Linked DNA regions of Rhinolophus ferrumequinum. The protein of the gene in region 1 purifies or fractionates together with the protein of each later gene. This does not show direct contact. Links are inferred from orthologs where the notes say so. Each region holds a gene or a part of one and is shown in the gene's direction. Other genes may lie near its edges. The genes, in order: NUFIP2, LSM12 and ATXN2L.

Region 1 (3,744 bases):
ACTATCCTGATTCTAACATTTGCTTTTAAAAATCTGGCTGTGATGTGATAATGCAGGATAAGTTAAATCAACATTACAAAACGCAAGAATATTTCTTCAAATTCCGGTATTTTACATAAATGCAGAAAAAAAAAAAACTTAACTTTTAAAGTGCTCTTTTCCTCTTGAAACTCTTCATATTCTAAAATCTATCTTGGTTTCACAGTTGACCTTACCTGCAGTTAAAAAAAACAACTAATTCTGTGTAAATTTTAGATTTTCATTCCTCCCGCTCTCCATTGCCTCCAACTACAAAGAAACAATGATTTAAACCCTTTGTGCCCTTTTAGAAAATTACACAGATACCCCATTGTGGAACCCTATAATCCCTCCCTGGAAAGGAAGAGATTAGCATATGAATACAAAGCAAAATGAATCCAGAATACAAAATGATCTGCAGATTTGTGAAGTTCCTGTATTCTTAAAAATGTATTTATTTACTTCCTCTTTTTTGTATTGCCCCTTTAGTGGTCTCAGGGTTAAGGAATTGCGCTTCCCCTCCGGTTACCCGGAAAAGGATTTTTAAAAAAAAGCCAACAGAGTCTACGAGGTGCAAAACCAACAGATGGCTCCCAAAGCCAGTAGAATCGCCCGTAGAATCTGCCGACATTCGACATGAGCTTGTTTGTGGGCGAGGAGTGTAGAAAGTGCTGTTCGCAGACTGCATGGTGAAGGAGAGAAAGCGACAGAAGAGAGAGCCATAGTGCTGACGTTGAAGGCCCAGCCCTGTGAGGTTGCACAGGGTAAGTGGCGTTGGCCAGGAGGCTGTGGCGAAGGGGGAGGACAGAGGATTTGGGCTAAGGGCGGGGCCTGCGGCGCAGCGTGCCTCTCGATTGCTGGAGCACGCCTGCCAATCTCGCAGAATCGCTCGGTTAACCAGTGCGCAGGCGAGACGCGCTCAGATATACTGAGTGAGCCCGAAGAAGCAGTCTCAGATCCTGACGGTGCAGCAGCCCGCAGCCTCAGCCAGGGAGTCCCAGCCGCTTTCAATGGAGGAGAAGCCCGGCCAGCTACAGCCTCAGCACCATCACAACCACCACCATCCACACCATCACCCCCAGCAGCAGCAGCAGCAGTCGCATCACCACCACCATTATTATTTCTACAACCACAGCCACAACCACCATCACCACCACCATCACCAGCAGCCTCACCAATACCTACAGCATGGAGCCGATGGCAGCCCCAAGGCCCAGTCAAAGCCGCTGAAACATGAGCAGAAACACGCCCTCCAGCAGCACCAGGAAACGCCGAAGAAGAAAACAGGTCTGGGAGGGAGGACGAGTGGGGGAAGGGGAGTCAGGGTGGGGGGTAGGGGCGATGGGGGTGGGGCTGGATCCGGAAAGCGCGGACCGGGTCGGGGTGCTGCGAGTGTCAGTGTGTAGTGCGAGTCTGGGGAAGCCCCCTTTCATTCTCCCAAATCTCGGGCTGGGCCGCGGGGTTTGCAGCGCCCTCCTTCCTCTCAGCATGGGAGAGGCCCAACCAGGCCAGTGTGACCTTCCCGGCCCCCGCCGGGGCTGGAGGAAGACCCTGAGGGTCGGCCTTGGAAGTCTAACGTTGTTATTCTTTTCCCGTTTACCTTCTTGCGGCCCTGGGGGGACCTTAATTTGGGGGCCCTTAGTTGGGGTGAACCTAGCCCCCCAAATCCTTCAGGGTGTAACTCAGAAAGGCCTAGCGAATCCCGACTCTGGTGGTGTCGCGAGACCCTTTTGCAGGCGGCGAGGAGAGGATAGGTGGGCAGAGTTGAGAAGTGTCCTCACCGCCACCTCAAGCCCACCTGTGGCCTTGGGGTTCCCGTCTGGGGGGGCGGTTGGGACCCCTAGTCTCTCGGGTCATTTCCATCCCTAGACGCCCCTTTTGGGCACCGGACCCCGTGGCTCCTCCCGAGGCCGGCTCTCCGGGCCCGCTCCCCCCAGAGCCGGCGCGGCTGGAATGTTCTCTCCTCCTCGCGGGGCCGCTTCCTGTCCGCCATGTTGGAAGCCGATTCCTGTCACCGACTCCGGCGCACTGAGCAGCGGAGGGGGAAGGGTGTCGAGGGGCACCCGGCGCGGCGGAGCCGAGAGCTCAGGATCCCCACCGGCAGTCGCCTTGCCCCCCTGCACTGCGGGGGCGCTGCTGGCTCGTGGCCCCCCTCCCCCAGTCGCCGGCTGGGTTGTGTAACCCGGTGGCTGCCGCGCGGCCCCGGGCGGGTCCCTGGGGTGAGGGGCGGGGGCGGTTGAGGTGGGGGAGGGAAGCGGCCACGAGGGGAGCGGCCTGCGCTGGGCCCCGCGCGCCGGCCGTCGCGTTTCCCGCTCCCGGGTGAGGCGGGAGGCGCGGGCGGCCGGGGCGCGGGTCTCCAGGCAGAGCGGAGGGAGAAGGAGGCCGCGGATCGCGGGCAGGGTCCTCGGCGCCCCTCGGGGGCAGGAGGGCTGGGGGTGGGGGGGGCACATTTTGGGTAGAGGCGGTGCCTGAAGGCCGGGTGGGGTACCCAGCGGGAACCCGGCTCCCGGGTCACGAGTTTCTCTGCCACAGGAACCTCATCTTCTGCCAGGTTCGCTCACGACTCCGGCTCTCAGGCTTTCACTTGGGCCCTTTCCTTCTAGCAGTTCGTTTTTACAAGAAAAGCTTGTTCTATCTCCCTCTACTTCCCCCACCCCCAACATTTACCTTCAGGGCATGGGTAGTATTTTTGAGGCGAGCGATTCGAAAAATGATTGGATGGGGTACGTACGGGGCGAGTTTTTTTGACCCCTATTTCTTGTCCTTAAGGGTGAACCGAGATGGCTCATCCGTGAGGTTGGTTCACTACCATCTTGCCTCGGATAAGGGAGGTTTGTTTCCATTTTGAAAGGAACGGTGTTTTCCCCTTTTCAAACCTTTACTGATCCCAAAACTCTTGTTTTTTTAACAATCGTTAAATTGAGGGTAAAAGTCGTTTTAGAAAATATTTGAGAAGAAATGAACTTAAAAGTTTATAAGCATGGGAATTTTTAAAAATAGGGGTTCTTTATACATTGAAGAGAAATGAAGGGAATGGTAAGAAAATGAATCTTAAACCTAGCCTATCAAATGTGATACAAGCTGTTACTGAGAGCGGGAGAAACACTGCTTTTCTGTTGCAGACTTAATGTGATTTGAAGACTGAAATTGAAATGTCAGGCCTTCCGTTTTTGAAGGTGGTAGGGGTAGGGACTGATGGTGTGCAGTAGAAATGAATATATAGATGTGTTGAGTGCTTAATCCTAAGGATTTGGAACAGTTTAAAAACTACAACACTAGATCTTTTTAACGTTTCATCTTTTTCAATTTAAAGGTGAGAAAATGTTCCCTTATGGTTGCTTGGAATATAAGGCAGTATTACTGCTCAGATTGGAAAATTTTATTTTGTTGGTCACGTATTAATACATACCGTCAGGACTCCTCTCTACATATAGAAGCAGATCGTGAACCGTTCAAGGTGGCATCCTTCAAACTGGGCTTAGCAATTTTGAGAAACATAAACAATTTGGGATGAGCAGGTTTTCATGTGCGGCCTAGTCACATTACTGTTGCTTCAGCATGCATAATGCTAATTTACTAAGAAAACCGGTTTTTTGAAATATATCCAGTATGTTCAGGTGGGCTTTTTTGACCCATTACCCACAAACCTATAAAGAGGAAGATTTTCTTTATCCAGAAGAGGGCGCAAGAGAGGGTTAAATGTGCTCAATAATTTCAGTTTCTAAT
Region 2 (3,744 bases), about 21 Mb from region 1:
AGTACGTACCAGGGCTGTCCCATTGCTTCCCTCTCGACTAGAGAAAGGTCAACCTGTTGTTACTCAGACATGAGGCTTCAGAATTTCTATATTGGGGGAGGGGAGGTAGGTAGGTTAGGGATGTCTATTGGTGATGATAGAGCTTGAAAATTCATCTGCATAGTACTTACATGTACTATAGGTGGTCCCTCAAACTCCTGCCCCAAGGCACCCTTTGTCACTACCACTGCTCCTCACTCCCACTCTTGGCTTTCTAGAGGGCAAGACAGGAGATGCTGAAGAATCTTGAGTTCTAAGGGTGATGGGTGATCATGGAGGAAGTACCATTTATCTACTGCATACCGTGCATTTATACACTTTATCTCATTTAATTTCCTAACTACTTTATAAGGCATTATCTAATATAGGTAGTGTAACAGTAAATAGCACCGTTTTTGGAAACAGGTAGACCAAATCCTTGCCAGTTGTACGACCCTGGCCAAGTTTAGTTTCTTCATCTGTAAAACGAGGGTATTGATTCTTACCTCAAAGTGCTGTTGGACGCTCAATAAGTGTTCATACAGAAGACATAAAGAAATTTGATCAGGTTTAGTAATTTGCTCAAGGTCATGTACCATGGTAAGTGGCAGACCTGGGATTCCGATTCCAGTTTAGCTAATTCTATAGCCAATGTTCTTTCCACTACCACTTTGTAACTTGGTACCTATAATCATTTTGGTTAAGTTTCGTGTTAAGTCTTCTGGGCCTCGGGTTCCTCATGTGGACAATATAGAGTTAATTCATTCAACTCTTTTGTCAAGGTGCGCACATAATGGAGATTGCAGCTCCCTCCTCCTCCCCCTTTTCATTCCACGTAGTCATTTATCTTTAACTTCTAAAACGTACTCTGCAAGAACTTGACAAGGAAAGCGCAGCTGTTTGAACATAATTATTCAGATTCCCCTTTATTTCCTCTTCTACCTAAGGCTCCCGCCCCACCCAGAGCCAGGCCACGCCCTGGCGTGTGACGTCAGCACGCCCCGTGCGTCGCGTCGCGGCGCTCACTGGGGGCCCGGCTTTCGCCCGCTGCTGCCGCCGCCGCCGCCGGCCGCGGCTGCTCTCCCAAGATGGCGGCTCCTCCGGGCGAGTACTTCAGCGTTGGGAGCCAGGTGTCGTGCCGGACGTGCCAGGAGCAGCGGCTGCAGGGCGAGGTGGTAGCCTTCGACTACCAGTCCAAAATGCTGGCTTTAAGTATCCTTCCTTGCGCGGAGCCCGAGGCCGGGCTGGCGTGTGTGTGCAGTGGTGGGGGGGTGGGGGACGACGGCGGCGGCTGGGGCCCTCCGGGCCTAGGGGCGACCGGCTACCCCGGCGCCTGGAGCGCATGCGCACGGCCCTGAGCTTCCCCTCCCCCTCTCGTGGGTCCTTCGGTCTGCTTTGGGGACCCTGTCTTCCATCCCTTGTTGGAGCTGGGACCCGAGCGAGGGTCGGTGGGTGGCTTGACACGCGGATGGCTTTTCGGGGTTAACGCTGTGAGAGGGGGCACAGTGATCAGGGGAGGAGGTGGTCGTGGGAGGGGGGTGGGGGATTGGAGCCCGGATGGAAGAGGGGCGGATAAAATGTGGGGAGGGGGTGTGTAGAGTAAGGAACTGCTAGTAGGGCAAGGGTATGGAGTTTAGAAGGGGGTGTCTGCTGATTGGATTTGGTCCAAGGAAGGGCAGTGGGCTCATGACCAGATGGGCCTCGCCTGTTTGGGGGGAGAGGAACTGCAGGGTAGGGTTTAGATTTGAACTGGGGATGGGGGCTTCTGCTTGTTCGCGTGTATGCCTGGTGCCAGTGGGGGCGGCGAGTGCTGAATTCCAGGTTTCCTAGTCATTAGAAAATTGCTGTTTGGGGGATGTTTGCATTGGGAACCTGGTCCAGAGAGAGGACCACGTTTTTCAGGACTTAGGTAGGGATGTGTGGGTTACAGGTGAAAGAGTAAGTTATCTTCTCTTGCTCAGCCCAGCACATGGAGTCCTGACTTTTCCATAGACATAGCCTCCCCTTTTGAAAGTCAGTATTAAACAGAATGGAAAAGGTGGCCTGCTTCTTTGGGGTGGAAGTGATTTCTGAATTACATCAGGAAACTCAGTCTTGGAAACAAAATACTTCCTGGTTGTAATAAATGTGCCACCCCTTCCCCTTTTATTTGAGCCACAGGTGGGTTTATTTGGATTTTTTTTTTTTTTTTGAGTAACCCTTTATGGCATCTTTTAAAAGGAAATGTCCTACTGAGTCTGCTACAATTGAGCGGCAAGTATTTTAATTTATTTAACCAATAGTTGTAGATTTCTAGCTTAGGAAGATGTCTTCTGAAATAATTACAGCAAGAACAATTGCTTTTTTTCTTTTTTAATACAAGAATTCATACCTGGACCAAATAAGACCTTTAATATTAGCAGTTTAGTTGGAAGGGTTTGGGAATGAGGAATTAACTCTGCTTTTAATTGGCATACAGTATACTCTTAATAAACGGTGGGAGAATGAATGAATGAATAAATGGGTTAACTAGCCGTGTCACCTTGAGTGGGCTTCTTTTTCAGTGTTGTAGTTTTCTTCTCTGCAAAATGGGAAATCTCAGATCTGAAAAAGTGAAAAGAGCACTGTATGGATAAAGGGAGTATTACTGCAAGAGCAGAAAGCACTGCCTCTCCTGAGTGGTCCATTAGGTTCCAGACAAACAGTATACATAAGGCATTAAAACTGCATTATGTCGCTCTGTAAAACTGGTAGAGAGAAGGTGACAGAAATCCTTTGAGGCTTCCAATTTTGGATCATTATATGGCTTGGAAAAGCTTGAGATCTTTTGGTTATGGGGTTGAGCGGGAGGACAGTGACAGGCAGAGATTTCCTGAAGACAGCTGTGATTCTTTTGAGGCTCCCCACTCTTGTTCCTGGCATACCTTTTACACAAGCTTTGTGTGAATTGTGTTTTCCATGCCCGGTTTGGGATGTGTCAGTTCTCTGCTTGCCCCTATTTTCCTTAACTTGATTTTCTTACCAGAATGTCCCTCTTCCAGTGGAAAGCCCAACCATGCAGACATCTTGCTCATAAACTTACAATATGTTTCAGAAGTGGAAATAATTAATGACCGAACAGAAACCCCTCCTCCCCTAGCTTCACTCAATGTTAGTAAGGTAAGGATTTGAGGGCAGTTCTGGCTCTCCAAAATGGGGGGAAAATTGAGTCTCATTGACTCTTGGTGATACATACATTGTCCATTGTTTGTTTTCCATTTTTTCATTGAATTACAATTGCTTGTTCTGATATCTTTTTAAAAACATACCAGTTTAGTTTTATTCCTGGGTATTTTCAGAAGATTTTAAGAAACATCTTAATGCCCAAATAGAGAAATAGAGTTGAGAGCTTGCTTTTGTCCTTGGTGAAAGAGGGTTTGTTTTTTTTAAAACCTGGAGTCCATGCGTGAACTTCTAGTTGGTGGGATTGGGTAGGGGTGTTGCCTGTAAACCTCCTGAAATTGTGTATGTGTGCATATATGAATATATGTTTCTCCTGGGTGAAGATGCAGAGTGTTTTTCAGATTCTCAGGGATTCCAGACATACACAAATTTGAAAACTACTGCCTTAGAGCTCCGTTTTGGTCTTTATGTTTGAATTTTTAGGTCTAGCAAAAATAGGGATTTAGGATATTTTAATCTTGGATGTACAAATTGATCTCTGGGAACCCCCAAATCACTTTTTTGACTCTTCAGTTCTATCAAAGT
Region 3 (3,744 bases), on another chromosome or scaffold:
TACAAGTCTGATCTCTTCATCTTCTGTTAAAAGGCTCCCCACTGCTTTGAGGATAAGGTTCCTCTCCTAAAAATCTGATCCCAGGTTACTTACCTCTCCGGTTTCATTTTTTAAAACCTCCCTCTTTAATTTTATTCTCCAGCCATGCTCAAGTTTTCTTGTCACATCCCATTCCCCCTTGCCTAGAAATCCATCACCCAATCCGGGGTCACTCCTATCTGCTTTCTTAGTGCCCTGTGCTTCACCTAATACCGGGTTTCCCCAAAAATAAGACCTACCGGGACAGTCAGCTCTAATGCGTCTTTTGGAGCAAAAGTTAATAAAATACCGGATCTTATATGTTTTGCTCCAAAAGACGCATTGAGCAGAGTGTCTGGCTAGGTCTTATTTTCGGGGGAACACGGTATTATAGATCTCACCTAATTGTCTGAATCTACCACCAGCTTGAACTCCCTGAGGGCGGCAAAGGGTTTAATTACAGTTGTATCAAGAGCATCTAGCCATTTTAAATGAATGAAGGCTGCCTTCACTGCAGTTGGGTGGAGCATTTTGTACTTTGGCCTTCCTTTCATTACTCCGGTTTAAGGGTTCATTCTAGGGCATGGAGAAACCATGTAGGTTTGAAAACCACTGAAGTTTAAAATACACCGCCGGGCTCAACCTGGCAACTGTAATGCCCGCCAGTCTTTTCTTTAAAGCAGATAAGGTCGGGAGTAGCTCCTCCTGAAACCTGCCAGCAGCCTGTCTAGTCCCGGGATTTTTTTTTTTTGCACTTTGACTCCGCCCAAGGGCCCCCAAGTGGCGGAAGAACTGCACGTTACGTCGTGCGCATCTCCCACGGCTGCGGAGGCATCCCAGCGCTGCGCCGGCGGAGGGGGCGGGGCGGCCGGCTCTTCCTCGGCTGCCTCGGCTCCTCCCCTAGCGTTTCACACGCTCATTGTGAAGCGACAGCGGCTGGCAGCGTTGGGGGCTGTTAGACACCCAGAGACCTTAAATTCTCGGCGCGCGTGGGCGCCGCGCTGCTCCTTCCCCATTCCAAAGGCTAGGGGCGCGAGGTTCACTTTCTTTCTTCTCTCCTTCCCCGCCGGCGCTAACCGCCCCGGTGCGCGCGGACCCCGCGCCGCCGCTCCCTCCCCGCCCCTCCCCCTTCGGGAGCTCCCGCCCGCGCGCTCCTCCCTCTCCCCCCCTTCCCCCGGCGACGCGCACGCGCGCCAGGCCGGCTCGCGCCCTCTCGCTTTCCTCTGGCCCGCGAGACCCCCTCCCCTTCCGCCTCGCGGCGCTTTCTCGCGCCACGGTCTTCTCTATCCAACCCCGACCCCGCGGGGCTCCCCGCCCGCCCGCCCGCCAACGGCGGGTCCCTTGCTTCCCAATTCCCCTCGCTTCCTGCGCTCTCCGGTGGGGGCCTAGCCCCGGCCTCTCTCCCTTCCTTCCCCCTAATTCCCCTTCCGGACGCTGCCATCATGTTGAAGCCTCAGCCGCCACAACAGACCTCCCAGCCCCAGCAGCCGCCCCCCACGCAACAGGCCGTGGCCCGCCGGCCTCCTGGGGGCACCAGCCCTCCCAACGGCGGCCTCCCGGCGCCCCTGGCCTCCACCTCGGCTCCCCCAGGGCCTCCCGCGGCCACTTCCCCCTGCCTGGGGCCTGCAGCCGCTGCCGGGAGCGGGCTCCGCCGGGGACCCGAGGGCATCTTGGCGCCCCAGCCGCCGCCACCGCAGCAGCAACATCAGGAGAGGCCAGGGGCAGCGGCCATCGGCAGCGCCAGGTGAGAAGGGGTGGCGCGGGGTGGTTTTCCGGGCGCTGGAGCCCAGGCTACAGGCAGCGGCGGCTCGGTTCCGGCCCGGCGGCCTCCTAGCCTGGCCACCTTTGAGGGGCGCCAGGGGGCGTGGGCCACCCCCCCTGAGCTGGGAATGGGCCCCCGCAGGTCCTAACAGGTCGGAGGAAAAGGGTCCCCCGGCAGCTGCCGGGACACTCGGGGGCCATGCTCAGCTCTCAGAGCCTGGTCGGGTCTCGCGGCCCGGGCTTTAGGGGAAGGCAGGGCGCCTCCCGGCAGCGCCGTCGGAGCCCGGAGTTGGGGGGTGAAGAGGTGATCTGGGGTCCCCGGCTCCATTACCAAGGAGGGTCTCGCGGTCCCCGGCTTCAGCCAATGGGGAGTCAGCTGCGGGAAGGGGTCCCCGGCCGTAGCCAATGGAGGGGGGCGCGCGGCCCACAGTTTGGCCAATGGGGAGGGAGGGACTTGGGAGCGTGTGGCCGCCTCCTCCTCCCCGGTCTGGCCAGTAGGAGGGGAGCGGGGTGGGCGGGGGGACGGAAGGAGAGACCACTGGGAGGTCTGCGGGCCGGGAGCCTCCGGCGCGCGCGCGCGCTCTTTACGTACGTGCGCGTGGATGCTCTGTCTTATGACCCAGGCATTCGGGAGTCCAGGGTAACATGCAGGGCAGTGGCCGGGAGGGTGCGCGAAGGGGCTTCGGGATGGAGGGGTGGACACGCCACTCGGTTTCTTCGGAGTATGGGTTAATGGAATGGAGCGTGGCGGAACACGCAGGCGCAGTGGGTTCGGATCGCGGGAGGGGGTTTTGAAGAGGCCCGTGGGCTTTAGTGCGCAGGCGCAGACCGGGCGAGGCCTCCGGTGGATGGCTCTTGCGGCTGCGCTGTCCCCCAGCCCCGCCAACGGCCCCCTCATCACCCTCCTCCGCCGCCGGTTACATCAGCCAGCGAGGAGCGGGCTTAGCAGGCGATCGAGGACCCCTCCCACAGTGGGTACCGCGCCGAAGGAGGCCGGAGGTCGAGAGGGTGGGCTGTGGAGGGAGTCCCCTCCTCCCAGGATCGGAGCGTCAGGCTGCTGACAATGATTGTCTTTTCGGTTTGGGAGGTAACGTGCCTGAGCCAGGGACTTCCGCGTCTGCACTCCCTGAGCTTCCATTTTTATGTCGGAGGTGGGTTTTTGGTTGTCGAATGCTGGAGCGTTGGTGTGTTGGAAGCGTGCAGCCCAGGCCCCTTGGAGAAAGCGAGGCAGTGGTGTAGGATGTACTGTTAAAAGCAATTGACAACAGGGGTCGATTGCGATGTGTTTTCCCGGCGTTTGGAGGCAATGTGTTTACTGGCTATACTGCCCAGGCCTTTCTTCCTCTATAAGGTGAGAGTTTGAAAGTTACGTTGACTCACTGTAGCCTAGATCCGCATCTTCACGTGGTCTGTGGTTCTGGGATACCAAGTCCTTTGAAATCAGTCGTGTCAGGCATTGAACAGATTTAAATTAGTTTCTTGTTTCCTTCTCTCACAGGGGACAAAGCACAGGAAAGGGACCCCCACAGTCACCGGTGAGTGCCTCTGCCCACCCCAAGACTTAAAAGACACCTAGGTGGGAATATAGGACCGATTAGTTGTAGATATGGTCAGGTGGGCTCAGAAGAGCAGGGGTCTCAGCACATAGTACTTCGGTGGGGGGGTGGAGTGTGGATATTTAGAAGGAAGGTGAGGTGTTGTCTGGCTCTTTATTTGTTCCTCCTGTGTTACTGACAGGTGTTTGAGGGTGTCTACAACAATTCCAGAATGCTGCACTTCCTTACAGCTGTGGTGGTAAGTGGGAGCCTAACCCCTGGGTGGTTGGAGGAGAGTGATTCCTCTGTTTGCTGGAGACGTTTTTATTTTTCCCACTGTCCCAGGGCTCCACCTGTGATGTAAAGGTGAAGAATGGCACCACCTATGAAGGTATTTTCAAGACTCTGAGCTCAAAGGTCAGTGTACTCA

What was found.
Region 2: the proteins of NUFIP2 (region 1) and LSM12 purify together in Homo sapiens (affinity purification with mass spectrometry; 3 studies listed by BioGRID and IntAct, counting the BioPlex papers as one, with this or other methods). This does not show direct contact. The link is inferred for Rhinolophus ferrumequinum from reciprocal best matches to the Homo sapiens genes NUFIP2 and LSM12.
Region 3: the proteins of NUFIP2 (region 1) and ATXN2L purify together in Homo sapiens (affinity purification with mass spectrometry; 4 studies listed by BioGRID and IntAct, counting the BioPlex papers as one, with this or other methods). This does not show direct contact. The link is inferred for Rhinolophus ferrumequinum from reciprocal best matches to the Homo sapiens genes NUFIP2 and ATXN2L.

The regions. Positions count from the first base shown.
Region 1 is NC_046304.1:18,309,438-18,313,181, forward strand, and holds the start of NUFIP2 (FMR1-interacting protein NUFIP2), read left to right. Parts: upstream 1-905; 5' UTR 906-1,028; coding exon 1,029-1,305; intron 1,306-3,744. UniProt on the Homo sapiens protein: Binds RNA.
Region 2 is NC_046304.1:39,192,900-39,196,643, reverse strand, and holds the start of LSM12 (protein LSM12), read left to right. Parts: upstream 1-970; 5' UTR 971-1,106; coding exon 1,107-1,230; intron 1,231-3,022; coding exon 3,023-3,156; intron 3,157-3,744. UniProt on the Homo sapiens protein: Nicotinic acid adenine dinucleotide phosphate (NAADP) binding protein. Confers NAADP sensitivity to the two pore channel complex (TPCs) by acting as TPC accessory protein necessary for NAADP-evoked Ca(2+) release.
Region 3 is NW_022680357.1:1,220,049-1,223,792, forward strand, and holds the start of ATXN2L (ataxin-2-like protein), read left to right. Parts: upstream 1-1,460; coding exon 1,461-1,762; intron 1,763-2,110; exon of another isoform or gene 2,111-2,266; intron 2,267-2,366; exon of another isoform or gene 2,367-2,506; intron 2,507-2,620; exon of another isoform or gene 2,621-2,750; intron 2,751-2,769; exon of another isoform or gene 2,770-2,866; intron 2,867-2,963; exon of another isoform or gene 2,964-3,130; intron 3,131-3,277; coding exon 3,278-3,314; intron 3,315-3,516; coding exon 3,517-3,573; intron 3,574-3,659; coding exon 3,660-3,731; intron 3,732-3,744. UniProt on the Homo sapiens protein: Involved in the regulation of stress granule and P-body formation.